Rhinolophus ferrumequinum: one gene and its partners. The protein of the gene in region 3 purifies or fractionates together with the protein of the main gene of each other region. This does not show direct contact. Links are inferred from orthologs where the notes say so. Each region holds a gene or a part of one and is shown on either strand. Other genes may lie near its edges. The genes, in order: UBC, DCAF12, CUL4A and DCAF7.

Region 1 (7,606 bases), on a different chromosome or scaffold from region 3:
AGGCTCACAGTGCCAGACCGCCACTAACACCTGGGGCAGGACCCACCCAGACCAGTTTCTATACGGATGTACCCAAGACCCCCCCCATTCAGAGATTCGTTAGGACTCACTGGACTCACACGCCAAGATTTATTACAGCAACATAGGCGACAGCTGCCCCTGGGGAGGAGACACCCACGCCTTGCGCCCCACTCCACAGGAGCCTGGGCCCCCCTCACTGTAGGGTGGGTGTACCGCACCCCCAAAGGGGGGGCGCTGGGAGGAGGCCCTGCAGTCACCGCCTCCTGCTCTCAGCCACTTCACCCTCCAGCTCCACAAGGGACTAATGTAGTCCACAGAGCACATTGAAAAGGGGACTCGCACGTGAGATAAACTGTTACCCACCACGTAATAAATAGTTATAAAAAGTCACCGCCAGGGCAGATTGCCCACGGCGGCAGGCAGCAAGCTGTGTCAGAACCGGGCCAAGATGAAAGAGGGTTTCCAGAGGCTGCCTCCTGGGTGAAGTCCAGGGGCCAAGGGGTATCATGTCAGAAACTGGCTGCTCACATGTGGTGCTTGGCCGGCAGGCCAGGCACCAGGTCAGACGTCAGAGGTCAGAGGTTGGGGGCCAGGCTTTCTCCACATCGGCGTGCATGGCCTCGGGGAGCCACTCGCAGTACTCAGCCAGTAGGTCTGCAGGGGCAGAAGACAGCGTCAGAATGGCTCTGTGCCCAGCTGCCCTGCCAACCCTGGGTTGCCTGGGCAGACCCCGTCCCATCCGCTCCCAAGCCCTGGTTAAGGGGCACCTGCCCGTCAAACTCACATTTGGGGCTTTTCCTCCAAGCAGCCAGCAAGGCGTCTCGGCAGTCGGCCTTCTCGGCCACAAGGGCCCTCAGGAGACTCTCTGTCCTGGGCTGCAGCCTGTGGGAAGGGATGGAGGGCATTATGCCACCCACAGGGCTGCCCGCTGTGGGAGGGGGCAGGCAGCCCTGCCTTGGTGGGTAAAGGATCCCTGTTCCTCCACCATGCTGGGTGCCGTGGCTCGATGGAAGGCTCTAGACGTCACCACCTCCTACCTGCCTCTGGTCCGCCCGCCCTGGCCTTTCTTCTACTCCTTGAGCACTCCCCCACCCATGCTGCTCGTCCCATCTAGAACCTTCCTCCAGATTTCCACCTGGCTCACAGCGGCCTCCTCCGAATCTGCCCAGTCAGGCTCTCCTGACCAACCCCCCCAGGCCCCACACCTCATCGCTAACGTCCTGCTCTGTAGCCGCGTCACCACCCGCCATGTGTACTAGCTGTGTTGTTTGGTGTCAGTCTCCCTGCACCGGACGTCCCCACAGGGACAGGGTCCTGCCTGTATCCCAGCAGAGAGGGTGATCAAAACCAGCTGCTGGGTGAACAGTTGGCTGGCAGCAGCCTGGCAGGGGGCGCCTGGCCCCACACCCTCCTCCTGAGTCCCTGGAGTGAGGGAGTGAGAGGGTGGACTTGCACCCATCTGCTTCCAAGACCCCTCCCGTGCACCTTCCAGACGCCAGCCTCAGGGAGGGGGAGGCGTCCACTTGGAGCTGGCCAAGGTGGAAAGAGAACAAAAAGGGAGGAGCAGGGACAGGCAGGGCAGAGGAGGATGGTGGTGATGGGCGGGACTGGGTGGGCCTGTGCGCAGCTGGCAGGAAGCCCCTAGGGACGCAAGCATGTAGAACACCTCCTCCTGGCACCTGGCAGCTGTGTAGTGGGTTGACCAATGTCTCCCCAAAAGTCCACATCCACCCAGAACCTCAGAATGTGACCTTATTTGAAAAGAGGGGCTTTGGAGATGCAATTCAGATGAAGTCATACTGAAGTGGGGTCGGCCCTGAACCCATGATGTGCTTACAAGAGAGGACATGAGGGGACAGCCATGTAAAGACAGTGGCAGGGATCAAAGTGATGTGGCCACAAGCCAAGGAATGTCTGCAGCCACCAGGAGCTGGGGGAGGAGGGAAGGAGCCTCCCCTAGAGCCCCCAACCCTGCTGACACCTGGATTTTAGACTTCTGGCCTCCAGAACTGAGAATACATTTGTTGTTCTAAGCCAGTCAGTTGGTGGTGACTGGTTATGGTGGTCCAGGACACCAATCCCAGCTCCTGCCGCCACCCCCCGCCACCCTGGTGCTGCCGGGAAAGGCTGTACCTGGCCCACGTCTTCAGCATCGTGCTGGGGCTGGACAGCAAACAGCCCTGGTATGAGGCCAGCTTGGGGAAGACCTGAGGAGAGCGCACAGGGCAGGGTGAGGGGTCACCTGGCTCACCTCCCGCCCACAGCACCCAGGACGGGGCGGGGAATCACCGGGCTCCCTACCTGCCCTTCCAGCAGAAAGCGGGCAAAGTGCTTGTAGCAGTCGAGGCCCTCCGGGAAATCCACCTGGACCGCGGGCAGTGGCCAGCCGACGCGATCTGGACGGCAGCAGCCAGTAAGCGAGGGACCGTGAGGGACCCCCACATCCTCCCCAGAACCAGCCGGAGCCGGGGGCCTGTGGTGACACCACCTGAGACACACACACACACACACACACACTTCCCAGTGTAGGGTGTGGGACCGTGTCCACGGGAGCCCAAGGCCACCAGGAAGCTGCCCCAACTCACAGAACACGCTGGCCCGGTGACACAACACCCGCCCCTTCTCGGGGCAGTAGGCAGGGGGCGGCTCCTCCAGGGGCTTTTCGAACTGGCAGTAAGCAGGCAGCAGGGCTGGGATCCACTGGGCCTCCACGGTGCAGACACCTGGGGGCCCAGGAGAGAGGGCTGAGGATGACAGTGACCAAGCTGTCTGGGAGGGGCTGTGTCCTCCCCACCAAGGGCCCTGGCGTCACAGCTCCCCAGAGCCCGTGAGCAGGGCGAGGGGCCGGCCACCGGCTTTGCTACCTTTCATGTACAGCTTGGTGGTCTCCACAATTTCCTGGTAGACCACAAAGTCGGGCAGCTCTTTGAAAAGGACGGAACTGGGGTGGATGTAGACAGGGTCATCGAGGAGGGGGGTCTGCAAAGAGAGGGTGAGTGGTGTGTGTCGCAGACACAAGCACAGGTGCAGGAACCCATGTGAATTCAGCTGCACGTGCGGCTGGGAAAGCGGAAGAGCATTCTGCCAGGTGACGAGCGGCGTGTCCGTACCGGGGACCAGTATTCAGCTGAGCGAAGACGCCGACACAGGTACTGACACGTGCCTCACTCACCACCATGCTGACTGAGAGAAGCAGGACAAAAAAAGGCCACAGTGTATGCTTCCACTGACACGAAATATATGGAATCAGCAAAGCCGTAGAGACAAAAAGGCAATTCACGGAGTGGGGGGTGGGGGGTTAGGAGAAAATGGAGAGACTGATAATGGGGACGGGGTTTCTTTTTGGGGCGATGAAAATATTCCAGAATTGATCGTGGTGATGGTTATACAACTCTGTGAATATGCTAAAAACCACTGAATTGTACACTTTAAAATGGTGAATTGTCCACTTTGTGATTCCTCTCTCCATTAAGCAGTTATGAAAATAGACTTGGGGTGAAGCTAATCCCCAAAGGAAGTGTGACTCCTGTACACCCCATCCTGTTCCTTGGTGGGGACTTTCCCAGAGGCTGCAGTGACAGGACCGAGGACAGGTCCCCGCAAGGGTCCCCTGGCTGCTCTAGGTGTCCCGACAATGCCCAGAGGCAGGCATCACAAGTGCCCAGGCTGGCAGGACTCGAGACAGATGGAGGGTGGGGTGGAGAGGGGAGCCCGGGCATAACGCCTGCCACGCTGCCTGCTCCCGAGCTGGAATCTGACCTTATACGCATTCTTCCACTTGTCGTCCAGCAGGTCCTCGCTCTGGACCCTGCGGGCCAGGTGGTCGCCCAGGCCGGCCGTCACGATCTGCCGCAGGTAGGTCACCTGGCTCTCGGAAGGAGGTTGCATCTTGGGGTCCACAAAGAGCCCAGCCTCAGGGCACACAGAATTGACTGGGGGAAAAGCCAGGTGTGAGGACAGCAGTGGACAATGGTGGGACCTGCGGTCTCGGGCTGACCTTCTGGGAAGCCCCGACACCACTCAATGCTGAGCTCTGGCCTCAGCACCTGTTCCTCTCAGCCCATTTCCACCGAGGCTGCTGGGTGGGCGGGAGACAAAGCCCTCAGCGGGGCAGAACCAGCTGCCCACGCCATAGCCACGCCCTCTTCTTCCTTAGGACAAAACCCCAATATTCCTCTGTGGGTGGCAGAGTGAGCTGCCAAGAAGCCACCCCCTCAGATGCCAGGGTGGCGCCGGGACTCGGTCCTGCCCCTGATATGACGATGGAGTTGCCGGCTGGAATTTTTGGAACGCTCCTCTGGCCCCTTCCTCCTGCCTGGAAAGCAGGTGTGATTAGATCTCCCAGTGTCTTCTCGGTCCCTGAGGTGGCCTCGAGGATGGAAGCCACGTGCAAGGCTGGCAAGACAGCAGCCCAGAAATGTGTGGGCCTCTGGAGACCCCGTGAAGCCAGGGTCAGACCCTACGTGGGATCAGGGAACCCAAGGGTGAAACTGGGGATGCCCAGGGGCAGCTGGTCCAGATCAGAGCCAGGGACAGAGGGTGACGCGAGGGACCGCACTGGAAAGGATGAGGCCGAGGTGTGCGCGCCTGCTCACTGGCGGGTCCTCAAAGGACCGCAGAGGCGCCAAGTACTGACTTAGGGTTACGATCAGTCTCAGCGAGGTGAATGTGTACACGTGGGACCTGTGATAACTGGGGAATGACTGTGCACAGATAACGTCGATGAGAAGAGCTTTAAACATTAGTCCCGTTTGTGCTGGGGGCCGCCTGTGGCAGGAGTCCTGGGGAGCCCCAGAGGCGGGTGTGTGGGCCGTACCTGCGGTGGTCAGCTGGCCCCGCAGGCGTCGAATCTCCATCATAGCCTTGTACCGCAGGCCGCTGACCTCGCAGAACTGAGGCGAGCAGCCCGCGTACTCGCAGGCCCCCACGGCACCTGTGGACGAGGACGCACTCACTGACTGTCCCCCAGGTCCCACGGGCCCGCCCCCCTTGGCTGGGGCACACACCCAGCAGCACCATGAGGTCTCCGAGTTTCAGGGAAGCGCCTCGTCCTGCCCAGGTCCTCTTCATCAGGGCCACCCGGGCACGTCTGCCCTTCAGCGTGGCCCGCTCCTCGTCGCTGGACGCTGGTCTGCAAACACATACACCACCTGACTGTCGTCCTGGCTGAGGGCCACAGGGGCAGGAGGCGCACAGGTTCAGGGACAGAGACCATCCATGCCCGGTGGGGTCGCTAACATGATCAAGGTCTTCAGCTCTGGCTCAAAATTTACCCTAAAATTCACCTCCGGTAGCCAACAAGATAAAAAATGTGAATGCCTCCTACCCACGATTTCACATTTAGAGATCAATGTAAAGACACAATCCTACAAATGAGTAACATTGCACAATGCCGTGCAGCTTACAAATAGTAATAAAAAAAAAAAAACCCTGAAAAATGCTGAAATATACACCAAGTATGGACTGGATAAACGAATTTTCCCCTGGTTCCCAAACCTGAAAGTAATGACACTCAGGCAGGTGTCAGGTATACTTTGAAGTCCCTTATGTTAACTAACGTAACCCTAACAACAACTCAGTTATTAATAACATCTCATCCCCATTTCCCAGATGGGGAAGATGAGGCACAGAGAGGTGAAGTCACCTTCCCAAGGCCACACAGCTGGGGAGTAGCAGAGGGAGATTTGAACCCAGGCAGTCTGGCCCAGAGCCTGGGCTCTTAGCCATCATGCTACAGAGCCTTGTATCAGCTTTGCGCGAGGAATTTCCTTAGAACACGTTCTGTAGCGACCAGAACACTGGAGCTCTGGAGAATGAGGGTCTTGCACAAGACCACCCAGTGATCCAGTTATTCCCTCAGAGGCCGGGCTCCAGGCCCTCTCTCAGCCCAGCGCACCCCGTCAGCCTGAGCATGAGGCCGGAACGCACAGCCCCCCGCCCCCACCTGTCCAGTTCCACGAACAGCTCCCGCACGGTCATGGCGGCCACAATGGTGATGGCGTAGGGCAGGCAGCCGTGTTGTCTGCTCAGTGCCAGCATCTTGGCATAGCGGGGCGCCACGGGGAACGTGGCCATGGTCCTGCCCAGCGCGGTGATGGGGCAGCTCAGCCGGGACCTCTGCAGCTGCTTCATCCTGGAGGACAGAGGAGGCTTTAGCGCCAGAGCTAAGAGGCCCCGGTGCTCAGGGCAGCTCAGGAGAGGGGAGAGGGCCAAGAACGGGGCGGGAACTGGGCTCCCCCCACCAGCCCCTGCCCTACCTTTCTGTTTTCTGGGGCACCTGCAGGGCACCCAGCGAGATCAACAGCTCCTCGGCAGCAATGAGGGCCTCCACAGAGGGAGGAGTTGGAAAGGGGAAGTTGATGACCTGGGACACAGGAAAATGCGCAGGTGACAGAACTGAAGGCACAGAAGTGGGCACGGTCACTGCAAGGGGGAGCCGGGCCAGGCCTGGCCACTCAGAAAGGGCCCCGGGCAGCCTCCAAGTCCAGGGGCCAAGGGAACCCCGAAGGCCTGTTTCCTTCATGTGGTCACATCAGCCACTCGCTCCGAAGCAGGTCTGAGCCCCTAATGTGCGCGGGGGCTGTTCTTGGCAAAGGAGATTGAGAAAAGCAAGACCAGGGCTCTGCCTCCACTGAGCTTTCATTCAACCAGAAGGGGCCGTAGACGGGAGCAAACACATAAGGAAGAGTAAACGTGCCCCGACAATAAAAGGTGACAGGACAGGGAGTGGGGCTCAGGGGTGGTGGCACCTTAGAAAGAGGGACCAATCAAAAACGAGTGTTCTAATCAATCCTTGTGCACTCATGTTCACAGCTGCCAAAACGTGGAAACAACCCAGTGTCCAGCAGTGGGCGAACGGATACACAGAATCCGGTTCATGCGTACAGCACACTGGATGTGATCTGGCCATAGAAGGAATGAAGCACCCACACGAGCTACAGCGTGGATGACCCGTACAACATCACGCTGAGTGGCAGAAGCCAGACACAAAAGGACGAATTCCGTATGACTCCATTTCTATGGAATGTCCGAAATGGACAAATCCGGAGACAGAAAGCAGACGAGCGGCTGCCCGGGGCTGGGTTTCCACTGGGTACGGGGTTTCTCCGACTGCACCACCCCTGCTGGAGCAGGGAAGAGACGGACAACCCCTGGACAGGGGGACATGAGGACGTCCCTCCCCTGCCCCCCAGGAGACTGACCGGGCAGAATATTCTGTGAGCCTGAGGCCACCGACAGCCCTCCACACAGTGGGTGGGCCCTCTGGCTGCACAGCTTCTGTCCCTGGCAGCCAATCCGCAGGTGCTCAAGGGGCACAGCACAAGGGGAGTGGGGGTCACAGGAGGCGGGGAGCCCAGGTGGCTGGACAAGCACCACCAGGCTGAGTCCCCGGGCTCTCTGGGCTGTGGGGAGGGGGAGCTGCCCCATGGGGGCCTGGAGCCGCCCTCGCTGACCACCCCGGACATGGGTGCGCTGAGAGGTCAGTGAGGTGATGGTAAGGCTGGGGGCTTCGGCTGACCTTTTCAATGTTGAGAGCTTTCATCTGAAGGATCAAGTCTTCCACGGGCCTCCGGGTGATCTCAGG
Region 2 (7,630 bases), on a different chromosome or scaffold from region 3:
TAACTATAAAAAGAAAAGAGGCCCCCACTTAGGGTCAGGAGGACATAGAAGACAGAGAGAGGTACGTATTAGCAGTAGGTTAAATTATTATTTAACATTATTCTCACCTTCAAAACAGTCAATAATAAATGCAAAGAGGAGACTAGGATGATTACTTCAGGTTACAATTTCACAACATTTGCCGGGCAAAACACTACAATGGTATGTTTGGGGAGTGGAATGAATTCCTCCAAATAAGGGACTCTCTACTCCAAGTGACAATGACGACAGTTCTCTTAAACCACAAATGGCGGCCTGAGAGACTAGGAAAATGAAGTTTTGTAGAGGATTGCCGCCACCATTTAGTTTTGAAAGGCTTCTGTATGACAAGCAACCTTCAACAGAAGAGGAAACGAAAGCTTGGCCCCAATCACCATGGTATTATTTCCTTCCTTAAAACTCATCTTTAAATCTTTGCCCATGTCCTTTATAACAAACGCTTCTGCTAGTACTTAAAGACTTTCTTGATCCACAGAACCTTCCCTCTTCCAATTGATCCAAGATGTGTTTCTGTCCAGGGTAAATTTACCCAGGCATTATGACATTACACGTCTATTCACACAGGTGAGAGGAAAATGGAGAGAGCAGCTGGGCCTACATTTGATCTTTTCACACGCTTCATTCAGAATCATTTTCTATCTCCAGACCCTGCCTCTTTTCACTTGCCATTCCTCTGACGTCATGCTATTTGTGCCCTTATGTTCCAATTATATCCACCATATCTAATTATGGATTGACTTATTTTATCCATGCCTGAAATTGTGCTGGCTATGTAACTTACTGATAAATTTTTCCCTTCATTTACTTATAAGTGTCTTCTAAGTCATTCTATGTCAAAACAACTTTTCTCTCTTCTAAATCCTTTTCAAGGAGACTGCTTTGCAAAGAACAAACATGTACATCCTGAAATACTCGTGTATACCACCAGACACACATTCCCTGCCCATTCTCCTAAGAAATACATCTTTTGATTGTATTCCCTAAAAGTGAATGTTTGCCAAGTGCTATCTTAAGTACTTCTACATGTGGCCTTAGGCTGGCAGGTAACACCTAAGTTTTCACTATCATGTATCCTGAATGATGCCCTGAGCACCATTGTTTCCTAAGTCTTTCCTCTGAGGCCTCTAACTTAAAAAGAAACATAAAAAGATGAGGCCAAAAGAATCTAGAAGCAGTGGCATTTCCATATGGCAAGACCTAAAGACCTAAAGAAATAAGACTCCTCTGAAAATGCATCAGAAAATAAATGTAGAAGTGGGAAAAGAAGCAGAAAAAGAGAGGAAGAAGTCATCAACAGAAGGGAATGGAAAGGAGAGTAAGGCAACCTCCTCACAAGAGAAACTGATGGGGAAAACGAGCAGTGAGAGGTTCTAGAACATGTGGAGCCACATACCCGGGACCCAGGAGAAAGTTCACATCTCTCCCAGACACTTACCGTGTTGCATTTTGTGCCACACACCACTTGCCTATGATTCAGCCACTGAGATGCAAACACTTTATTAAGGGTCCCAAGGTGAAACTCTCTCTCCTTCAGGAGACTGGGAAGTTGCTGTGCTGCATAACCATGTAACACTCGAGAGTAGCTGGTTTCATTCTGTAGCCTGACTTCCCGGTTCTTCAGGTAGTACACTAAAGATCTCTTCACTGGGGGGAGTCTTTTCCTTTTGTGAAGGGAGTGATCCCAGCCAAACTGTGGAAAGCAACATTAGAAATCAAGGCTTTGACTACCCTTGTTCAGAACAAGGAATCCTACTGTATTAGAGATATCACGAAGAACTCATCCTGCAGGATTTATATACAAAAGAAATACAAACAGATTAGAAGAGGAATCTCAACCCAGATAGTCCAGTTTAACTCTTCCAACAGTGAAAAGATGTTGCTCATAGTCAAACCTACCTATGAGAAACGGATTAAAGACCGGGGAATGGAAGCAGAGGACAAAGGTTTACTAGGCCTTTTAGGAGTGAAAGATTCAGATTCCCTAAAGTTATCTGATAGGGAAGGGAAAGTGGCGCCAAATGATTACCATACCGACCTGGGGTCCATCTCTACCCAGCCCCCTTCTCCCTCTCAGCCTGTACTTCCTGCGGAGCATGGAGAACGCAGCCCAAGGAGCCAGATTGGGGTCCCACGTCTTCCAAGATGAACGATCAATGGCCGCCCCCCTGTCACCAGCCCCGCGCTCCAGGCAGTTGTAGAATTCGAAAAATCAAACACCAACGGGGTGGGAGGCACCGGAAATCAGAGTCCAAATACGCGTCCTACAAGGTCTTCCTCTCCAAAGAGGGAGTATAGGGATGATACCTGGGAATTGCTGTTTTCTTCTAGGGGTCCAAGTACTAGCTCACTTGAGTATTCTTAGGGAGATTCTTTCCTAATCATCCCCGCTTCTCGGGGGGCCCCAGTAAGGCGGACTTTTAATCTCCCTCCCCGTATCTTCTAGGAGGTTTGTTCCCGATTCCCTTCGACTTAGGTTTCCCTTCCTCCAAAGCCCAGATTCTGGTTTCTCCTCCAGCCCCATTCCAGGCTGCAGGCCTCCCGCGGAATATGCCCCATTTTCAAGTTCCTCTTTAGCTCTTCCACCCTCCGGCCTATCTGCTCTTCAGTGAAATCCTGAGGGCCCAATCCTGACCCAGTAAGCCGGGACTCCGCTCTTGCCCCACCCCCACCTCCAACTACAGACCTTGGGTCCCGGTTCCGGTTGCCTGATCTGCAAACTCTATACCCCTCTCGTTGCCTTGGTCTTATCACCCGAGTCCCAGCCTCTCAGCCCTCACCTGCGGGCCTTGAGCGTCACTCCCAATTCCCGGCGAGGTTGGCGCTTTCCGCTTCCTGCTAACTGCTTTCCGGGCCATAGTGGGCAGCGCCGCCACAGCCCCGCAGCCACATGGGGCGGGGGAAGCGAGGGGTAGCAGGACGGCGGGTCATATACTGGGCCCCGGGGCCGCGCACCTTAATGTGCCCGGCCCGGAAAATGGCCCGGACCCGGGGCGGCAGAAGAAAAAGGGGAGGAAGGCAGAAGGGAAGGAGGGAGGGAGGACCGGGGCTGGGAAAGGGAAAAGGAAGGGGAAGGGAAGGCAAGAATGAAAAGCGTCCCGACGATCGAGTGGGGAAAGGACGGCAAGCGGCTAGAACCAAAACACCCCCTCCCCTTCACCCGCGCTCCGTCACTCTGGCGCAGCCGCATTTCTCAGTGCGTCGCCACGGAGACGCTGCCAGGACTAAAGGGGCGGAGTTTAGAGCTTGGAGGACAGTTCGCGGCTGTTGCTTAGCGGCTTTCGGCGGGTTTCCAACGGTCGTCTGGCGGCCGCTGGAGGTGAGTGACCTGGGGCCAAAGGAATCTGGGTTCTAGCCGCCGACCTCGGACCCCCGCCCGCTCATCCTGAGGCACCCAGATGTGAGGACGACTAACCCCGCTTGGAGAAGGAATCCCTCTCAGCGTACCCTTTACCCGGTAGCCGCCACTGGTTATCTCCCGTCGAGCGCCGCACGTTTCCCTGAACCTATCACACACCGCGCCCTGACGCCAAGGGCTGGGTACTATGGGAAGAGGCAGAACCTTCTCCCTCCATTCCCTGGAGTCCGCACAGAATTCACGCCTGCCGGGCCCGACTTACCCGGTACGGAGAACCTGCCCAGCCGCGCACCACCAGCCTGGGCCACACCCATCTCCCGCTCCCTCCAGCCCCGCGCCCGGCCTCAGGTCGCTGTCTCCCCACACCTGAGGAGCCCTGAGGCTCTGTTTGCCACTCAGCCTCCTCCCTCGCCTGAGCCTGTCTTTTGCCCTAACCGCAACAGCCCCTCAGTCACCCTTTCCTTAGCTACTGCAACCTCGCCTCCCTTTCGATTCGCATCACCTGCCGGACACATTGTCTTCGGTGCTTTATAAAATAGGCCTCACCCCGTAATTTATGTTTCTTACATCTCCCATGCAGTCCTGAGCCGGGACTGGAACAGGAAACTGCCACTGCTTGCCTTCCCCGGGGGCCACGGTTGTGTCTTCATGACGGCAGATGGGGTAAAATTCTGAACCACAGAGAAGAGAGGGACCATTGGCTTCTCAGTACAGTTAGGCCTGGCATTGGTCACCAGACACGGGGGCTTCTTCAGGATGCCCTTGCCTTTATTGTCAGAAGATCCCGTAGGAATTTGAGTTCCAGCCTCTACTTTCCTCGGGCAAAAAAACACCCAAAAAAACCCTGTGAGGAAGCAGCATGCTCTTGCTTGTTGTGGCTGACCAGCCTCAGGCTCAGTGCCTGGTTACCTGCTGGTCCCTTTAGGCTTCAGGCCTCAGACCTCCAGGGAGCTTTGTTGGCCCATCTGAAGTTCTTCCTCCAAGGAGATTTGGATTTGTTTTCCAAGTTGAATCAGAGACCAGTGACCAGGTTGAGACAGGATCCTCTGCTATCACAAATCAGCACTTCCACTAACCCCTAATCCCACCTTGGGAAAGGCAGCCCCATCTTAACTTGGTCAGGACTATCCCTTCAGACATATGCACACAGTGAATGGGTTAGAAGTGGGTCAGCCTCCCTTTTTTGAGCCTGTTGTTCCAGTTCTGTCTTGCCTCACAATGCCCTAGATGACCCACGAGACCATTGGGCAAGAGTCTGAAATTCCTTTGAGAATCTCTAGGCTCATGCCACACTGTGCTTGGATTCTGGTCTCTGCCCATGTCAGAGGCTGCAGACACCTCCCTGAGGTTGGTGCGCTTCATCTTGACATCCCAGGAACTATCTCTGAAAGCACCTCACAGCAGAGCTCACTTTTAAACTTCCAAATGAATCTTCATTCTATTTTATTTCTAAAGTTTAAAAATTCATAATTGCTTTTAAAAGACATAATACCAAGTATTTATTAGGAGGTAGAATGACTGGAACTCTCATACATTGCTAGTGGGCATGTAAATTGGTACAAACAATTTGGAAAAATCTATGGCAGTACCTACTAAAACGTATACCTTATGATCTAGAAGTCCCAAGCCAAAAAATGAAACAAAAGTCCTACTTCTGGTTATAAACCCAATATAAATTAGTGTTTATATCCACCAAAAGTTACTTATAATAATATTTATAGCAGCTTTATTCATAATAGCCCTGAATTGGAAATAGTTCAAATGCAACTAATAGTAGAAAAGATAAATTGGGATTCCCATGACCTCCTCATCAGGTTCAATACTTTGCTATAATGGCTCATAGAACTCAAGTAAATAATCAACTTACTGTCACCGGTTTATTATAAAGGATATAAAGGATACAAATGAACAGCCAGATCGAGATAAATAGGGTGAGTCCGGAGTGCTGAGCCACAGGAGTTTCTGTCCCTGTGGAGTTTGAGGTGCACCACCCTCATGGCACATGAATACATTCACCAATTCAGAAGCTCTCCAAACCCTATAGTGTAGGGTTTATATGGAGGTTCCATTACATAGGCATGACTGATTAAATCATTAGCCATTGGTAATTAGCTCAATCCCTAGTTCCTCTCCCCTTCTCAGACGTTGTGGGGTGAAGCTGAAAGTTCCAACCCTCAGATCACGTAGTTGGTTCCTCTGGCAACCAGCCCCCATTCTGAAGCTATTTAGGGGTCCGTCTTGAGTCACCCAATTAAGATAAATGCAGGTATGGTTGAAAGGGACAAAAGATGCTCCTCTCACTAAGATCACTCAGGAAATTACAAGAGTTTTAGGCACTCGTGCCAGGAACCAGGGAGAAAGACCAAAAATATTTATTTTGTATTATATCACACTCTCACAGTAATAGAAGTCAGAATAGTCATTCTTGGTGGTTACTAACTGGGAGAACCTAGGGAGGCTTCTGGTGTACTAGAAATTTCTATATCTTGATCTTGGTGGTGATTTATACTAGTGTACACATATGTAAAATTTTATCAAGCTGTACATTTAAGATTTGTGCAGTTTTATAAATATACCTCAGTTCAATCATGTGCCACTTAATAATGGATATGTTCTGAGAAATGCATCGTTAGGTGATTTCGTAGTTTTGCAAATGTCATAGAGTGCACTTTATACAAACGTCCAGGTATAGCCCACTACACACCTAGGCTATATGGTATAGCCTGTTGCTCCTAGGTTACAAACCTATACAGCATGTTACTGTATTGAATACTGTAGGCAATTTTAACTCAATGGTATTTGTGTATCTAAACATATCTAACCATAGAAAAGGTACAGTAAAAATATGGTATAAAAGATAAGAGGTATACCTCTATAGGGCACTGTCCCTCTCACTAACTTGAGAGCTACTTAAAGGCAAGGATTCATCTCCAAATCCCTCGTGCCTGGGAAGGCACCTAGCATATTTTATGCACTCCCTAAATGTTGAATGATTGAACAAAGAGTAAGTCAAATGTATGTTCTACAAAGTCCTATAGGTATGTTCACAGTAAGGGTAACAATACGTATGGGGAAGAGACTGTTATGAAAATAATGCTGCAATAACTCATTTCCCTAATCTTGGGTAAATTACTTAAAACAACTGTTTTTCTAATGAACAAAACAAAACAAAATACATACTCAAAATAGAAACTTGGAAAACAAGGAAAGAAAGACACAAAAAGCAAAAATCACCCATATTTCTACCTTCTAGAAAATAACCACTGTTTACATTTTACATCTTGATGAGTGATCTTCCAGGTCTTTTTTGTATGTAATTGTGTCTGTGTCTATATATCCACATATAGTTTTTTTTAAACTATACTATTTTATCACATTAAATAAAAAACCCCACAATTCCCATTTTCTTCACCCCCTACCTCTCCAAGTCAGTTCTTGGAACGATTCCATCACAATTCATTGTACTGCAGAAGGCCCATGAATGGGCAGGAGACCCTAGGACCTGCTCACCTCTTGCCTTTTCTTTGGCTTGGTCTTGCCAGAAAAAATAAATAGCAAAAAATACTATAAAATACTTGGGACAAATTGAATTGTATTATACATGTTTAGTAACTTGTTTATTTGCATAGATTCCTCAGAGCAAACAAAGCACATGTTGCCATAATTCCCTGTATGCCTCTACCCTTAATCTGTTGGAGCTAATTAATTGTACTTGCTAGCAAAGGGCTCGGGAGGAAAGCATTTCTGTTAGGAACAAGGATTGAAGAATTTTAATCATATAAACCATTACAAAAAAACATAGGAAGAAAAGAGACCTGGAGGACATAAGAGCATGAACTGGCACAGATGGCAAGCCCTCAATAACTGCTCTCTTATGATGCAAAAATGTTAGTTCTCAGAGGCATTTGAATGGTAATTTCACCCGCTATGGAAATATTTTTCAGATCCTGGGGCATAGATTATTAAGGGTAGAAAATACTATAAAGACAGTTCATCTCATTAAACTCATACTTTTACAGAAAACTGAAGCCAAAAAATGTCAAGTCACAGTCGGCAGATGACTGAGAACTCTGGTCTCATTATTTTCAACTCTGCCACATGAAATATCTAGGTTCACGTGAAGTTGAAAGTGATATTTATCATTTTCCTAGTACTCTCATGTTTTCTCTTTTTCTAAAACCTGAAATATTTTATCCAGAACATCAACTATTTTGAGAGCAAAAATTCTTTAAAAAC
Region 3 (8,037 bases):
CATAGTATATGCATGAATCTCACAAGCACTACCCTAAGTGAAAGAAGTCAGGTATAGAAGCAGCCAGATGGCTCAGTTAGTTAGCGCCCAAGTTCTTCACAACAGAATTGCCGGTTTGATTCCCACATGGGCTAGAACAACGACTTGGAGCTGATGGGCCCTGGAAAAACACACTGTTCCCCAATATTCTCCCCCCCCCCAAAAAATGTCAAGTATAAAAAGATTGCAAAATCCATTTAAATGAGACCCTAGAAATGGCAAAATATACCGACAGAAAGCAAATCAGATTGCCAATAATTGGGAGTCAGTGGAGAAGACTAAATGGAAAGATGCCTCAGGAAACTTTTTGGAGTGGTGGAAATATTAATAGTTTATATCTTGATTGTGGTGGTGGTCATAAAATTGTATATATTTGTTAAAACTTATTGAAATACATAGTATATGTAAAATTATACCTTAATAAAGTTGAAAAAATGTAATACACAAACTTAAGGCAAAGAGGGCACATATATCCATCAAACTGTCAACAGTAGTCTTCTTTGGATGGTGGGAAAATAAATGGTTTTTATTTTCTTCTTTGTACTCTTTTTGTAGTTTTCATAATTTTTACAATGTACTCACTTATGTAAACAGAAAAAAATTTTAAATTCATATTTCTTAACAGGATATCATATTGCTACCCAAAATGTGGGTAATAATAGATTAGTTAACAAATGTTATTCTTTAAAAACAAAGTATCAGAAAAACCAGTCCGCTTGTAAATGGAATATCCAAATAGTAAAATGTACTTTTGACCATTTTTTATGTTAGAAATAGAACATCATTACTTTAAATTAAATATATCAAAATTTGTTTTGCATTTTAATTGCAACAAGTAATCAGAAAACACAATTAAGTGGGAAAAAACAGCTCTATTAACAAGTGAAACCATAATAAGAGTTTTATATATAACATAATGGAATTATAACATTAATTTGCTGCGTATTTGGAAAATATTAAGTCATGTGGCTCTTAGAAACACACCTCTCTCCTGTAATGGGATAACTTTAGATATCTTTCTAGGAGCTTAAGCCTGAAACAAAACAAAAATCCCCAAACCACCAAAAAATGAGAACACTCATCGACTCTGGACATGTTGTCATAGGACTCCTGTCCTTGTTGGAGGCAAACACTTGGATTTCTAGTATTTCCTTCATTATTGACTCTGAAACAATACTGAGGACCACATAATCCACATCTGTATCACATTTCACTAGAGTTGGATAATCGTGTGATTTAGACAACTATAAAAACAACCAGGTAAGTGAGACACAGGATGCTGGCCTCATCACGTCCTGAAGATGTCCTTGTCTAAGAAAATTCAGGATTTATATCTCAATGAGGATTCTAACAAGCTCTACTTTTTCCCATACATGGCGCCTTACCTGGTAGAGTTCTTCCAGGTTGTATTTGATGGAAGTACTACTTTGTATGGCTTTCACTGCCTCATGAAGTTTCTGCCAGGTGTCCTGAGTGTAGTTATCAGGCAATTTAGGTCTGTCTGTAAATCCAGATAGAGTCAGTGAGGAATGACATCTATGCTAAGTCATAATCTTTCAAAAAACAGTCTATGAAAATGTACTTTAAAAGACACAAGTAAGGAACACAAATTAGGTTTTTTCAATACAAAGTATCGTATTTATAAATTTGTTAGGTTACAGACTATGCAACCGTAACATCTGTTTGCCTAAATACACTTCATATTGATACTTAGGATAAAAACACACAGGAAATATACAAATCTTAGTTTCCTTTCACATAAGTTGACTTTACAAACGTATACATGGAATACTTAAGTTCTATACAACATTTAAAGTCGAGTTAAATTGTTCAACGTTGGGAGGAAGGTGAAGAATAAGCTTATAATTGCTATCTCTACATCAAAGGTGCTTCTTATTTTGATAGCATCAGTGATACAACTGATGAAAAGTGGAGGAAGTAATAAAAATTACATCACGAAGAGCGTCAGTAGCTGCTACTTATTCTTGCTCTGCCATGCCAATCAAGATACTTGAATTATTTGGCCTATTTTATTCCAATTGGACCAACTATACAGATTAAGGAGAAAGCTGCTACCAGTAAACTCAACCCGCTGCCCTCACCGCAGCTTAAGCCGACATTCGGAAAGGCCCGCGCCCTCATCGGGGGAGCCCGGGGACCCCCACCCTACTCTGAGAGTCTAAAACCGGGACCAATGACCGCCAACTGGGAAGGAGACTTCCGAACAGTCGAGGGTCCAGCGGACCACAACCCCCGCAACCCCCACCGCCACTGGTGCTTTGAGGCCGCTCCGCCCAGCACCTCCAGCCCTCGCGTTGCTTCTCCCCAGGCCGACCCCCAGCTCTGTCCCGGGCCGCCCCCCCAACTCCATCCTCGGCCCCCAGGCTCCTCCCTGTAGCTGTCCTCTCCTCCTCGGCCCACTAGGTCTCCCGTCCCTAGGCCGCTCCCTGTACCCACCTCGGAAATTCTTGATCACTAGTTTCTTGGAGCCGCCGCTGCCCCCTGGCTTGGAGGTGACGGCGGCCGCGGCGAGGGACGCGGGCTTGGTGAGGCCGTTGGTGTGCCCGACGAGCGCCGAGAAGTTGCCCTTCCTGGGGGTCTCGTCGGCCATGGCTGCGGCCGGGAAGCAGCGGGCGCCCCGCCCCGTCCGGCCGCCTCCTCCGCCTCCTCCCCGACCCGCGCGGCCGGGCACCCGGGCCTCTGCTCTCCTTTCCCCTCAGCAACTCCAGGCTCCGTCAGCGCCGCTCAGTCCTGGCCCAAACGCCGCTTTGGCCTGGCCCAACCGCCGTCCGGTCTTCCCCCGGCCCCAGCTCCAACGCGACCGTGGGCCCGACCCGGCCCACGACCCCGAAGCTCGCGAGCGCGGCCAGTCCGCGTCAGCCGCGGTCCGTGTGAAACTTGCAACAGTCGAGGGGACGGCGGAGCGCAAGCCCTGACAGCTCCCGGGGGCCCGGCGTGTCCCGGAGCACTGTAGGGGCGCGCACGAGGCGTCCTCGCCGAGGGGAGGCGGGGGAATCCCAGCACAGAGACCCCAGCCTTCCTCAGCCCGGGCGCGCTGCCATGCCGGGTCGGAGATCACGCTCCCGCAAATACTCCCTGCGGAACCGAAATTCGGGGAAAGTGGGGTTGGAGGCGCGGGGCCGAGAACGGACCACGGACCGGAAGTGACGGGCCGGCCCGGAGCTCAAGCTCCGCCCGGTCCTGGGGGTGGGTACCGTCATGGCGCACATCACTATAAACCAGTATCTGCAGCAGGTAACGTTCGTTGGGTCCAATCGCGCTCGGTCTGCGGAGTCTTCTCCTTCCCTTGGCCTGCTGGACTTTGGGGTCCAGTTGGGCGGCCGGCGCGTGCGTGGCCGGGGTCGAGGTAGCCTGAGTCCTTGTTAGCCAGACGGGACGACTGAGGCAGGCACACCACTGTGTTTCTTAGGGACCCCGGGAGTACGCCGGTGGTCGCTGCCCTCAGTTTAGGGACGTGAATATATGTGTGTGTGGTGGGGGGGAGCTTAGTCCTAGCAGATGCTGAAGGGACCGTTAACCACTCGAAGAAGTAAGGGGTTCAGCCCTTGTGTAGTCATCAAAAGCCTGACCTAAGGGCCTGACTTGGAGTTTTGTTTCGCACAGACACTGGTGGAAGTAGGAGTTGGAGATAGCAAGTAATGCTGGCTGCTAGCCTCTACTCATAGCTACCACAGTAGACCTAGCCTTAAATAAAAGCTCTTAGGATAGGTCTACTGTGGCCTTATCTTTGCAGAGTTAACATTAAGTTGAGCAAGGACATAGACATTGGAGAACCAATATGACTATAGAATCTCTCTAGAATTTTATGTTTTTGTTAACCTTTTACAGTTTTCTTGCCCACTCCTAGTTCCATTTCTTTTTTTCCCTTTTTTCATTCAGGGTGCTTGAATGGTGTCGTACTCATGTGGACGCTGAATGTAATTTGTCGACTAGATAAGTGGAGGCATATAGAAGGGTGTGAAGCTCGCCCCTAGGCTGGGTGGTAAAGCTGAGTGATTTGCCAGTGTTCAGACCTACTCATTCTAGCGAGGAGTAAAGATAGTATTCGTGCTGGTCTGTCTGACTCTTTCATATTCCCATTTCACCAAACTACCTCTTGGTCTTGTTCTCTGCATTCTCAGAGGAGCACAATGAGAATCTCCTTCAATTGTCTATCTTATTTGATGAAACCATTTGGGGTGATGATGAGAAGAAGAATGATAGTGCTTGTTGAATAGTTACTAAGAACCAGTTCTTTAAGATAGTTGGTCACCATCTCTGCCCCCCCCCCCCGCCACACACACACACACACACACACACACACACCAGTGATGAGAACTTTGGCATCCTTTATCAGCTTCCTTGAGGCAGGGGCACTGATGGGACCAATATTTTATGATTACTCAGAATACATCAACAAGTAACCCTGCACAAATTTATTCCATATTGTAAAGTGAATCCTTAAAAGCTGGATTGCTGGCTCAAAATGTAAGTGCTTACATAGTTTTGTTGAATAGTCAAGTGGCAAAATCTTCATTAGATAGGGTAGTGTAGACTTTCCCAGCTGATTCCCTGAGTGGTACAACAGATGAGGAATTGGTTCCTTTTGGTGTCCTGGTGATTTATGCCCCATCTCTTCTGGCTGCAGGTGCCTGGGCATAGGATTACTGGATCGGGGAGTAGGTGTATGCTCTCACTAGTAGGTACACCAGTGTCTCAGAGTGGCTGCCACTTCACCCCTTCCCTAGCAATGCATGAGAGTTTCAGTCACTTTATATTCTTGGAGTGCTTAGTATGGTCAACCTTTTTAATTTTAACTCTTCTGGTAGATGTGTAGAGATATCATGTTGCATTTCACTTGTGGGTAAGATGTGAGCACCTTCTCGTTTGTGTACCATTTGGATATTTTCTTTACGATGTCCCTGGTCAGAGTCTTGCGTGGATATAAAGTTTATATATGTAATTTTATTGTAGATAAATTACACTATATATGAAACTTTATGCTTGGCTTTCTCCTCACATTGTTGGAATTTTTATGTCATCTTTGATACACATAATTTAAAAATAACATTTGGTTTTCTAATACAAATGTCTTCTATAATACAGTCTTCCAGTATAGAAATATATAAGATAAAAGCCTTCTCAGCCCTCACCCCAAGGGGTCAGCTGGTGTGGCGTGGGGTCCTGCACTTCTTTCTGTGCTTGCGTGTCATACATACTTTGTCTTTTTCTCCCAGATCAAGTTACGCAGTTTTCCTGTGACTCTTTTTTTTTTAATAGAACTTTATTGGGGAACAGTGTGTACTTCCAGGACTTTTTCCAAGTCAAGTTGTTGTCCTTTCAATCTTAGTTTTGGAGGGCGCAGCTTAGCTCCAGGTCCATTTGCCGTTGCTAGTTGCAGGGGGCGCAGCCCACCATCCCTTGCGGGAGTCGAACCAGCAACCTTGTGGTTGAGAGCCCACTGGCCCATGTGGGAATCAAACTGGCAGCCTTCAGCATTAGGAGCACGGAGCTCCAACCGCTTGAGTCACCGTGCTGGCCCCTCCTGTGACTCTTTTTTTTCTTTTTTCTGTTTTCTTTCTTTTTTTAAAGCATATTGCGGACACATTCCTATGTTATTACATGTAGATTTATTTGATTCTTTTTCACAGCGTACTGTGACACCATTTATTTAGCCATTGCCATCCAATTTTTCTTTTATATTTAGATTGAATAGAACCGCCTTTTGAATTTTGGAAATATGTGGTTTATAAGCGCTTTCTTTTCCCTTAAGCTGTGTAAGTGAATTTTCAAATGTTTGCTTGTGTGACCCAGTAAAACTAGAATAAATCACCTTCATTAATAACCAGATAATAAACTGGCTTATTCTGCCCTCTCATTGTTTTTCACAGTAAGTCACCTGTTTATTTGCCTCCAGACGATCTCATTTTGAAATATAGTTATTGTTTGCTGGCTAAAGACAATATTGACTATAATATTTTGATTATGCTGACCCTTTCAAAGTAGGGAAAATGAATTTTGGTGTTATACAATGTGTTGTTTAGGTTCTATTAGAATAGAGTGTTTTATTTTCTACTTAGCTTTTCTTTTCTCCAATGCTGCAGGTCTATGAAGCAATCGACACCAGAGATGGGGCATCCTGTGCGGAGCTGGTATCTTTCAAGCATCCTCATGTTGCCAACCCACGGCTTCAGGTATGTAAAAAGAGTACACACACAAAGGGCTACAGGCTATCTGGCTTCCTAAGAGAAGTTTAGAGTTTGAGCTTCTACATTGCTGATTATATTTGGCAGTGTATAGGCTATACCTCAAACTGTGTAAACCAGTTTCGGGAGTAGAAGCAGGCATTTATGTATTTATGTGTTTATTTATTTTTAAATTTAAAGTCTCCTAGGTTGTTCTAATATACAGAACATATTGAAAACCATTGCTCCAAATAGAAATTAGTTCCAGAGACTTGATGAGACTCAGGTTCAGCTTGCTGGCCAGACACTCCATAGTTGGTGCTATGTGTTTCGTATTGATTACATCAGGGGCATGCACATCTGTTTGCCCATTTGTACTCTTAAGACTGAGTTCTTCAGTATAAAATTCCCTGTGAACCTTCCATCTGATGGTTCCACTCACTGGTGGCCATTGTCTGAATCAATTATTTCATTAGAGACTGTAGAATGATGATTTTTCTGAATTTGATATTTTTCCCCTCCCACATTTATATGTGTATTATATCAGTATCAGAGTGGACTCATTGATTCCCTTTTTTTTCTTTTAATTCAGTGTGCTAAATATAACCCATTGGGATGCTCATATTATCTAAAATTTGGCCATTGAGAAGAAAGGCAGAGTTAGAAATAAATGTCAGCTAGTCTAGCCCAGGGCACAGAGAGGGTGGTTCTATCACCAGGCACCTGAGGAGTGATTCCTAACATGGCATCTTTAATTCATTAGACCTTATTTATGTAAGGTATTATATGCCTTATTTATTAAGCACATAGTAGCTACTTACTAAATATTTCTTAACTAACTGGCTGTTAAACTTTAAGATATGTATGAAAGTGCCTTACACTATTTCCTAGCCTGTGGTAGATAAAACATTGTATTCATCTAGTGCCCTATACCTAGTTCATGCTTGATGAATATTTGCTGAAGTAATGAACCTTTTGTTTAGAAGTGCTAAAGTGTAAAGTGTTACTGTTAACTGTAAAGTGTAACTTCTTTTGAAACACAGGTTTGTTTAAATATCTTTCTACACATTGCATTCTTTCCATGATTGTTAATTTTATTTTTGCCATTTTCCTTCATATTTAATTTAGTTGGCTTCTCCAGAAGAGAAGTGTCAACAAGTTTTGGAACCCCCTTATGATGAAATGTTTGCAGCTCATTTAAGGTGAGGAAGTAAAACAAGCAAATTTTGAAATTGCTGAATCGACTAAGGATTTTATTTAACATCATCTAATGCTTGAAGCAGTGAATGATTTACTTTGAAAAAGTAGAAAAGTGTGTTTATAATTTTACTTTGGTAAAGCCTGTGAAAAATGTGATATTTAAAAAACTTTAAAATGTTAATAAACATGTTTTTCATTTCAAGGATCACACTTGTTTTTAAAAGTTAAAATTGTATTGTGATCGTGTCTTCATATGTCTATTGTGTGATACCATAAAAAAAAAATCTCTTGATAACCATCATATTGGCTGTACGGTGGCCTTTCATTTAGCAGGATGTAGAGCCCACCATTGACTTGGATTTTTCAAGGAAACATGCCCACCTCATTGCCTGATTGGGACAGAAACTAGAGCTGAGCAAAGCAAATGAAATACCGCTTTTTATTTCTATTTCATTTCTACTATATTTATCTCTAAACCATCAATTCAAGCAAAGCTTTATATCCTTAAAGTGTGTGGTTGATTGCTTTCTTGCCTGCAATACCTCTAGTGTTTCAGAGCAGGCTAGCATGCAGGGGGCAAGGTGGGGTAGCCCTGTGACATCTTTGGAAAAGT
Region 4 (7,981 bases), on a different chromosome or scaffold from region 3:
ATTTGCTATGTCCATTTATTTTGTCCTCTGCTGGCAATCACTATCGAGGGCAAGCAGGAACCAAAGGTCTGAAAATTCCAACCAATAATTTTTAAATTCTTGCAAATTATGGAATCTGGCACCTCCATGTCAAGGTTTCCCCAAAATTGACCCTGAGAATTACTGCTGCCCACCAGCCCCTCGGCACAGATCCTTTACAGCAGGATTTCTTAACTTGGGGTCTATGAACTTGAATTAGAAAATTACATTCATATTTTCACTAACCACTAGCTGAAATTTAGCATTTCTTTCAATTACAAATGGAGATGGCTCCTCACAGCAGCATGAATACCTGTGACTTTGTCACAAATACAAATCACTGATTTTTTTCATATCACATTACAGTTGTTAAACATCTTGAAATGCTGTTTACCTTTATCACTACTTCAAAAATACAGTAATAATTACACCAGATGGTGTAACGAGTTACATATTATTCTATCATCACTTTTAAAAAAATGTTTTTAATAACTATAGTTCAACACAATTGGTTTCCTTCATAATCCTATGTATTTGATGCATTTGAAAACATAATTAAGAGTAAATGTCTACTGGCTTCAGATTGCTAAAGGTGTCCAGGGCATGATGAACACACGTTACAAACCCTGACCTACATACGTGGGGGCACAAAAGTAGTTTTAAGATGCTGATCACCTATGTCACACAAGTTAAAACACAGTTAACTGCTTAGCTGTTACCACTGGAATCATGAGTTTGCATTATATTACTAAGGCCACATTGCATGTAAGCCTGGCACAAAGGAGCTCTCATATGGTTGCTAAATGGAAGTACAAACTTTGGGGTAAAGTTCCTGCAACTGAGATTTGACACTATTTACTCCACTAATTTCACCAGCAGCCTAATTGTGGGTCAGTCTGTCCTCTCTTAGAAATGTAATTACTATTGCTTACCCAAACTAATCCTGGAAAAATGTGCAAGGAAAAAGAACATCTATTTGGGTGAAAAGACTCAAGCTCTTTAAAATACATAGTTTACATTTTTTTTTTTTTTAACATGTATCCTTAAACCAGGGGTGTCCAAACTTTTTTCAACGTTTTTCACCAAGGGCCATATACGGTAAAATACACAAACAGCCAGGCCTCTCACTCGAGGTGAAGTACGTATTGCCTCACCTGCTTTATTTAAGTAAACTAAATATATTTTTGGATTTTGCTGCGGGCCAATTAACAATGGATTGCAGACCGCAGTTGGCCCGAGGGCCGCAGTTTTGACACCCCTGCCTCAAACAATAGTTCTAGTGCTCTTAATTATACTAATGCGATTTCCACATCACAATCATGAATTCCATTCCCAGCTCTGCTGTCCACTATGGCCATCAGGAAGAAAGGCATCAGAAAAAAGAAAATAAAATTGTCTTGCCAGGACTCTCTGCTTTCTGTGGGTAATGGGTGGACTTCAAGATCAGGTAGGCCTCAGTGGATGCACTCCCTGGTATTTGTTTGTAAACTGTGTATGTGTAGTGTCGGGGGCAATGAGAGTCCTTTGCTTTCATCGGTTTCTCAAAGGGGCAAAGGGATTTCAAAGACCTAACACTAGAGAAACAGCTGTATTCCTGAAGAACTGTAAACAAAGTTACATTATTCAAATGTTTTTTACAGAACCCCTTTCCTAAAACAAACTAGGGGTCAGAACTGCTAGCTCTCTGTCCTGTCACTGTCCACAGTTTTATTCTTAAGTCATCGTGTTCACATAGTCAAGCAGGAGTACTGGCTTTAAACACACTAGCCAAGGCTTTCAATTGCTGTGATCCCTAACAATCACAACGTTTACTCTAATACAACAAAAGGAAGAGATTAAGAGGTAAAGCCCAGAAAATTCTTCCCGCTGACTTATTCAACAACTTTCAAAAACAAGTTTATGCTGTACTGCCAGCGTGCAAGCTTCGCCTTGCTACTGATGCTTCTATGAAGGCTTACTCAAATTGACAGATACTTACTACTCAGGATTACACATCCACATTAGCATGAAAAAGCCAAGAAAAGATGTGGCAAGTGTCATCCTTCTTAATTCAGTAAACAGTGGTGAAAGCAAGGCCATTGGCCAAGATTTTTTAAAAAGATCGCACTGAAGAGGAGGGTAATAAGGCAGCAATGGCAATCCTAGCAGAGGGGCTGGGTATCCTCAAGAATAGTACCTGGGGGTGGGAGAAGAGCGAGGGGAAGTCTGCGCAATAGACAGCCAAGAGAAATCGAGTGTAGCCAGGAGTGAATGGCCACCAACTGAGACGCCAGCATTTTCCTTCAGTAATCCCTCCCTCCTCCGCCCCCCACGTGAAGCAATGCGGCAGGAGAGAGGGAGATACAAGTGATAAATGGCGTAGTTTTTGGGTGTAAATTCAGGTTTGAGATCTGTTTCCGCCACGAAACAGATGTCTGACTCGGGCAAGTCACAACATTTTACCTCTGTTTCCTTATCGGTAAAATGGGAGTACGGGTTAACTACACTCCGACTATACAGGAATGCTGCTACGATTAAATGAAACGAATATGAAACCCTCTGCTCAGGACGAGACTTAGAGGAACAACTCCATGGTGCTAAAGGCAAGTCCGCAGAAGGGTCCTGAGGTCGGGGGTCCGGCCCGGAAAGGGCGCTCCAGGGGACCGCTCGCCCCGCCCCCTACCTGCTGAGTTTCGAGGCCCTGCCCGACCAACCTTGTTGTTGTACTCCTCCACGAAGCTGCCCAGGGCCAGACGAAAGCGCTTGTCGGGCCGCACGCTCCAGTTCATGGCGTAGACGGTCCAGGGCGCTTCATACTTGTAAATCTCCTTCCGTTTGCCGTGAAGGGACATGGTAGCGGCGGCCGGGCCGCAGTGCGGGCCGGGTCGGCAGCGGGCTGCGGCAAGCGGTGCGTGAGTCGGGTGGGGGAGTCGGGCCTGGGACCCAGGGGTCCGAAGGGAGGCGGGGCGGGGGCGGGCAGGGACTGCCTAGCCCGGAAGCAGGGCCGCAGCGACAGACAACGACAGCCGAGCCCGACCCCCAGTTTCAAAACTGCTAAGGCTCGGGCGATAACCACCTTCCGTTTGAGATGCTGCCCCGCCCTCTCGGGACGGAAGTCACGCGTCCCCCGCAGCGGCGCCGGCTGTTGGCTGCTTGATACGTCCTTTAGAACGGTTCCTTACTCTCATTGGCTATTGTACCCGGTAGCTTTTGAAACCTCCTCGCTATTGGTGTAAATGTTTGTCATTCCAATTACTTGCACCGCCCAATTCCAAGGGGCAGGCGCTTTCTCAGCCCCAAAGGTCATTGGCTGACAAAAATGTCAGTCAAAGAGATAACGGCGCAGTGCGGGTGAATGGGGGCGTGGGTGGCATAGAGGCGGAGTAGTAGGCCTCCCAAGTTCTAGGCCAAATCTCTGACAGTGGTAAACCTCTTGTGTAACCTCCTTTGACTTCCACTCTGCAGCTGTTGTTCCGAGCGGCTTCTACATGCTGTCGAGTAAAAATTAAAATTCTGCCTTATTCAAGGGCCTGTTGCATTTCGCGGCACTAAGCCCCTCGGCCTGGCACTCTGGCCCACCAGCCAAATGGGAACCACCTTTCCTCCTCACTCTTACCAACGCTCCCTTTAAGCCGAGAGACTTGTTCTCCAGTACCCCAAGGGCAGGCCGAGGACAAGCCTTTTGCACACTAACCCGCCCATGTAATCAGGACCAGGCCAGCTTCAGTCAGGCCTTCCCGCGCTTTCCTGTCCATTCTAGAAATGCTGGGAATTCTAGGGTTGGCCCTTCAGTAGGCAGCGACCGACCAGCTTGGTAATAAGTTCTTTTTGTTTTGTTTTCTTTCTGTTCCCATTCCATCCTTTCCCCGCTTCGGATCCCAAGGCAAATGCTAATCAAGCGCTAAATTTATCTGTGTTGTGAGTTTGAATGGAGAATGTCTGAATCTTTACAATTTAAATGGCTTCCAATTCTTTGCTTTAAACAGAATTAAAGGAGGATTGTATTGACATTAGATGATATCATCAACTACAGTTTTTAATGATAAATGTAGTTGTTAGATAACTCAGTATTCAAAGAATTGAGTGGCACTGCTATGCAAACAAACTCCTTACAGTCCCATCTACTTATGTGAACAAGTTTACTCTGTGTTTAAGTTTTTTAAAAAGGATAGAAAAGTAGGTACAAAAGTATTGCTGAAGCTTGTCTTATTCTAATAAAAAATTATATTCATCCACACATATGAACTAATTGAGAGTAAAATACCTTCTTTTAAGAGATGCATTTCCAATAAAATTTTAGTTTTTATAAAAATTTGATATATTTGTGTTGTTTTGAAAAACTCTGAACTAATAAGTATAACCCTGAAAGCCTTTGTAAGATTACAAAAAATTAAATTTTTCATTTTATATATTTTCAATTTATGTGTTCGTGTTGCAAAGAGATATGATAAGATTATCAATAATAGACTTTAAAGCATGAAAATAAATTAGGTGTAGCATAAATTGGAAGGAATAGAATGGAATTTTGAAAAGAGTAAAAAGAATGATGTTAAAGAAGAGTTTGTTGTAGTGTTTTTAAAATTAATGATGTTGGTTCTCAAATCACTATGCTATTTGGATCAAAATGAATCAATATAAATGAAACAGTTTATAAAGTATCAATATTTACAACACACTGGAAATTACATCCTTTACAGCTATTTAAACTTATTACTGAAATACTTCAGATGTCAATTTAAAAATATGTGCGGGGGCAAATACATTTTCAAAATTATTCAGGAAATATTGGAGCAAAAGGAACTGAATACCAGTGACTGGGTACTTTTTGCAACAGCCTATTTCAGTGGAGTAGTTAACTGCATGTATTCTCATGCCAGACCATTTGGGTTGAAGTTACATCCTCCTTCTCCTGTGTTGTTGGGCAAAATTCTGTTTTTTAAATTGAAGTATAAGTGTACATATTTTCACAACCTGAAACGCACTTATGTAACCAGCATCTAGATCAGGAAACCGAACAGTATCAGCTCCCCCCCAGAGGTCCCCTTTATGCTTGTGTAAGTTTCTTAGTCTCTCTCTGCTTCTGATCCCACTTCTCTATAATGGGGAGAATAACATTGACCCCATAGGATTGTTGTGAGGATTAGATGAACTAATATCTGCAGAGCAGGTAGCACAGTGCCTGGCACAGGGTGTTATGAAAGTGGTGGCTATTGTCATGATTCCCTATGCTAACCAAGCCAGTACCTCTCTGCTTCCCTTCACTCCAGCTTGGCTAAAAGCCCCGTGATCCAGGTGCTCCTGGGTCCAGCAGAGCCACCTTTAGGTGCCTAACACACACCTCCGGTGAGAAGGGCTTGGAGAAGACAACAAGATGTTGGGGTCATGGCATAGTCAAGGACGTGATAACCCGCAGGTAAGTTACACACCCAGCCCAACGTGAAATGTGCAGACTTTATTAGCTGTGATACACTCCACTGTCTGCTAGAGTCCCAAAGGTCATCACAGAACCGTCAGAGGCAAAGCAGCTGAGGGCTGGAGCTATGTGCCCCGATATGTCCACTACAGAGGACACTTTCATTTCCAGCCAGGTCACAGGCTCTCAGCAGGAAGTCTGATCAACCTTGGATGCTGAGCCAAGAGGCGGTGGGTAGTTCTGATCCAGGACATGATTGCACCCAGCCTAGAGCAAAGTTCTCACACAGAAGATCAGAAACTTCTCCTTTCCTCACTGAACCCTCTGTCCAGTAAGCTTCCTCCATGCCCGAGGCTCACCCACCCTCCACCAGGCCTGCTATCTACACAAAGCCCTGGAAGAGTCTGGGAAAATCCTAAGCCTTCTTACCCTGCCATCTTGGATCACCTGGGTTAGACGTTTGTAGCTACTCTAGGAGAATGGTTTTCAGAGGACGATTTTGGCGGCTGTCTACCTCCCCCAAATATGTAACTCTTACCTCTCCCACCTTTAATCCCCTCATGGTGTGTTTTATCTTGGGGTTCAGTGGCTCTAACTCCCCACAAATCCAGGATCTGAGCCATGTCTCTGGAATTCCAGCTGCCTGGGGACAGAGCCGAGGTGATCAGGGAGGGAGGGGAAGCGGGGACCACAGATGAGTCCCTGTACCTCCAGGGCACGCAGAGGTGAGGCCAGGGGTGACAGGAGCCCCTCAGGCTGCTCCAGTTCCGAGGAAAGTGTCAGAGTTTTGTCTGGTGCCATGACCAGGTGAGGCATCCTGGGGGAGGAGTTCCTGCGCTTCGGCCCATGTTTGTCCAAGTCACCATAGCTTGTGGTCTGAGGGGCAAGAAAGAGTGAGGGATGCAGTGTGGGGAGCCCCCACCCCAGGCCACCCTGACTTCAGGGCTGGGAATTGGTAGGAACTATGTGTTCTTACCGTTGCCCCAGCTATGGGGTCTCAGTCATAAACTGGGCTTTGCCACTAATTGTCCAGGCTGCCCTGTCATGACTTGGACCATAAAGGACAGCAGAAGCCATGGCTGCTCTCAGGCCACAAGGCCCTGGGCCTGATGCCACACTGAGACCAAGTTGGGGGTGGGGGAAGGCATGCAGCTGCCTCTAGGCAAGCCCCTGGGGATCCCCTCACCTGCTCACCTGTGCAGGGGGCAGATCGCCCTGGGGCAGCCTAGTTCCTGGACTCTGAGTCTCTGAGGCCGCAGGAAACAATGCCAGGTCATTGGAGGCAGGGGCTCCCAGAATGTAGCCAGTGCAGCCCTGGGGCAGGGGCTGCTGAAGGAGCTGCAGGATGCGGCTGAGTTCTGAGGACATGCGGGACTCCAGCCTACCCGACAGAACCCCACAGTCAGGGGCAGATCAGGGTTAGTTAAGGTCAGGGTCAGGGTTGGTAAGAGCAGTCTAGGTCCGGAAGACAGCTCTCCATTTTGTAGCCTACATGCTGTTCCTGCTGGATGGAATGGAAGCCTGGGGCCTACCTGAAGCTATTTCCCTGCTACCATCCGCAGCCCCTCCCCAAATTCCCCTTAGCACCAAATTCCCCTCTGTCAATAAAGGTGACCAAGCACCATGCACACATCATTTAGGCCTCATAAAGAACCTTTGACATGGGTATTCTGATTATCCCCATTTCACAAAAGGGCAAACAGAGGCTCAGAGTGATTAAGTGATTTGCCCACACTCTTGCTTGTAAGTTGCAGAGCCAGAATTTGAACTCAGGACTCTTCTGCCCCTAACCTCTCACTCTGCCACCACAGCCCTGCCATCCACAGGCCACATCCCCGTTCCAAGGGCCCATGGAATTTGTTTCTGCACGAGGTTATGCCCCTGCCCTAAGAAAGTTTCCTTGGCATGTTCTGGGGTTTGCTGGGACAAGCCATCCAAGGAATTGTGCTCAGTGACATAGGGATGGGGAAGCCTGCTATTAAATGCTGTCAGCCATTCTGAAATTCATAGGACATCCAGTAATGTCCCCAAGTCACCAGGAGGGGGCACCTGTGCCTAGCCTGCCGTTGGGCCTGCTCTCTGCAGCCCAGAACTCTGTCCTGCAGGGCACTCACCTGTTCACCTGGGCCTGGAGCTGCTCTAGCCTGGAGCCTAGCTCCTGAGGCCAGCAGTCTGGGTCTCCCTGAGGGTCTGTGGGGCTGTGCCTTGGTCTTGGGGGCACTTGCTGCAGCAACTCAGGCCAGAGCCCAGATGCCTCTGAGAGGCTCAGGGAAGGGGCTGCACCTGCAAGAGGGAAAGGAAAGCCTGAGCTTGTTCTAGCTGGTTCCACAGCCCTGATCCCATGCCCCTCCTGCTTTGGGAACACATAGCAGGTGAAGTGGATCTCCTTACCTGGGTGCCCTGGAGTATGAGGTCCTGCCCCCATAGAGGTCTGGCTTCCAGGACCCAGAAAGCTGAAGCCCTGGCAGGGGAACCCGGGCCCCAGCTTTGGAGGGGCCTGGCTGGGTGGGGATGCCTAGCCCTGGCCTCACTGTCCAGGGAACTGCAGCCCAGCGGGACCCGTGGTGTCTT

Evidence for each region.
Region 1: the proteins of CUL4A (region 3) and UBC purify together in Homo sapiens (affinity purification with mass spectrometry, with the first as the bait; 3 studies listed by BioGRID). This does not show direct contact. The link is inferred for Rhinolophus ferrumequinum from reciprocal best matches to the Homo sapiens genes CUL4A and UBC.
Region 2: the proteins of CUL4A (region 3) and DCAF12 purify together in Homo sapiens (affinity purification with mass spectrometry; 4 studies listed by BioGRID and IntAct, with this or other methods). This does not show direct contact. The link is inferred for Rhinolophus ferrumequinum from reciprocal best matches to the Homo sapiens genes CUL4A and DCAF12.
Region 4: the proteins of CUL4A (region 3) and DCAF7 purify together in Homo sapiens (affinity purification with western blotting; 4 studies listed by BioGRID and IntAct, with this or other methods). This does not show direct contact. The link is inferred for Rhinolophus ferrumequinum from reciprocal best matches to the Homo sapiens genes CUL4A and DCAF7.

Annotation. Positions count from the first base shown.
Region 1 is NC_046308.1:3,431,710-3,439,315, reverse strand, and holds the start of UBC (polyubiquitin-C), read right to left. Parts: upstream 3,120-7,606; 5' UTR 3,115-3,119; intron 3,001-3,114; coding exon of another isoform or gene 2,886-3,000; intron 2,745-2,885; coding exon of another isoform or gene 2,607-2,744; intron 2,418-2,606; coding exon of another isoform or gene 2,323-2,417; intron 2,229-2,322; coding exon of another isoform or gene 2,155-2,228; intron 904-2,154; coding exon of another isoform or gene 806-903; intron 676-805; coding exon of another isoform or gene 590-675; exon of another isoform or gene 94-589; intron 1-93. Other genes in the region: probable ATP-dependent RNA helicase DHX37, read right to left, coding at 590-675, 806-903, 2,155-2,228, 2,323-2,417, 2,607-2,744, 2,886-3,000, 3,781-3,953, 4,838-4,954 and 4 more.
Region 2 is NC_046295.1:50,760,243-50,767,872, forward strand, and holds the start of DCAF12 (DDB1- and CUL4-associated factor 12), read right to left. Parts: upstream 2,927-7,630; 5' UTR 2,895-2,926; coding exon 2,817-2,894; intron 2,192-2,816; exon of another isoform or gene 2,135-2,191; coding exon of another isoform or gene 2,075-2,134; intron 1,730-2,074; coding exon 1,475-1,729; intron 1-1,474. Other genes in the region: 39S ribosomal protein L32, mitochondrial-like, read left to right, coding at 2,927-3,355. UniProt on the Homo sapiens protein: Substrate-recognition component of a DCX (DDB1-CUL4-X-box) E3 ubiquitin-protein ligase complex of the DesCEND (destruction via C-end degrons) pathway, which recognizes a C-degron located at the extreme C terminus of target proteins, leading to their ubiquitination and degradation.
Region 3 is NC_046287.1:55,720,143-55,728,179, reverse strand, and holds the start of CUL4A (cullin-4A), read right to left. Parts: upstream 3,130-8,037; 5' UTR 2,651-3,129; coding exon 2,497-2,650; intron 1,541-2,496; coding exon 1,425-1,540; intron 1-1,424. UniProt on the Homo sapiens protein: Core component of multiple cullin-RING-based E3 ubiquitin-protein ligase complexes which mediate the ubiquitination of target proteins. As a scaffold protein may contribute to catalysis through positioning of the substrate and the ubiquitin-conjugating enzyme.
Region 4 is NC_046304.1:42,212,560-42,220,540, reverse strand, and holds the start of DCAF7 (DDB1- and CUL4-associated factor 7), read right to left. Parts: upstream 3,068-7,981; 5' UTR 2,850-3,067; coding exon 2,712-2,849; intron 1-2,711. UniProt on the Homo sapiens protein: Involved in craniofacial development. Acts upstream of the EDN1 pathway and is required for formation of the upper jaw equivalent, the palatoquadrate. The activity required for EDN1 pathway function differs between the first and second arches.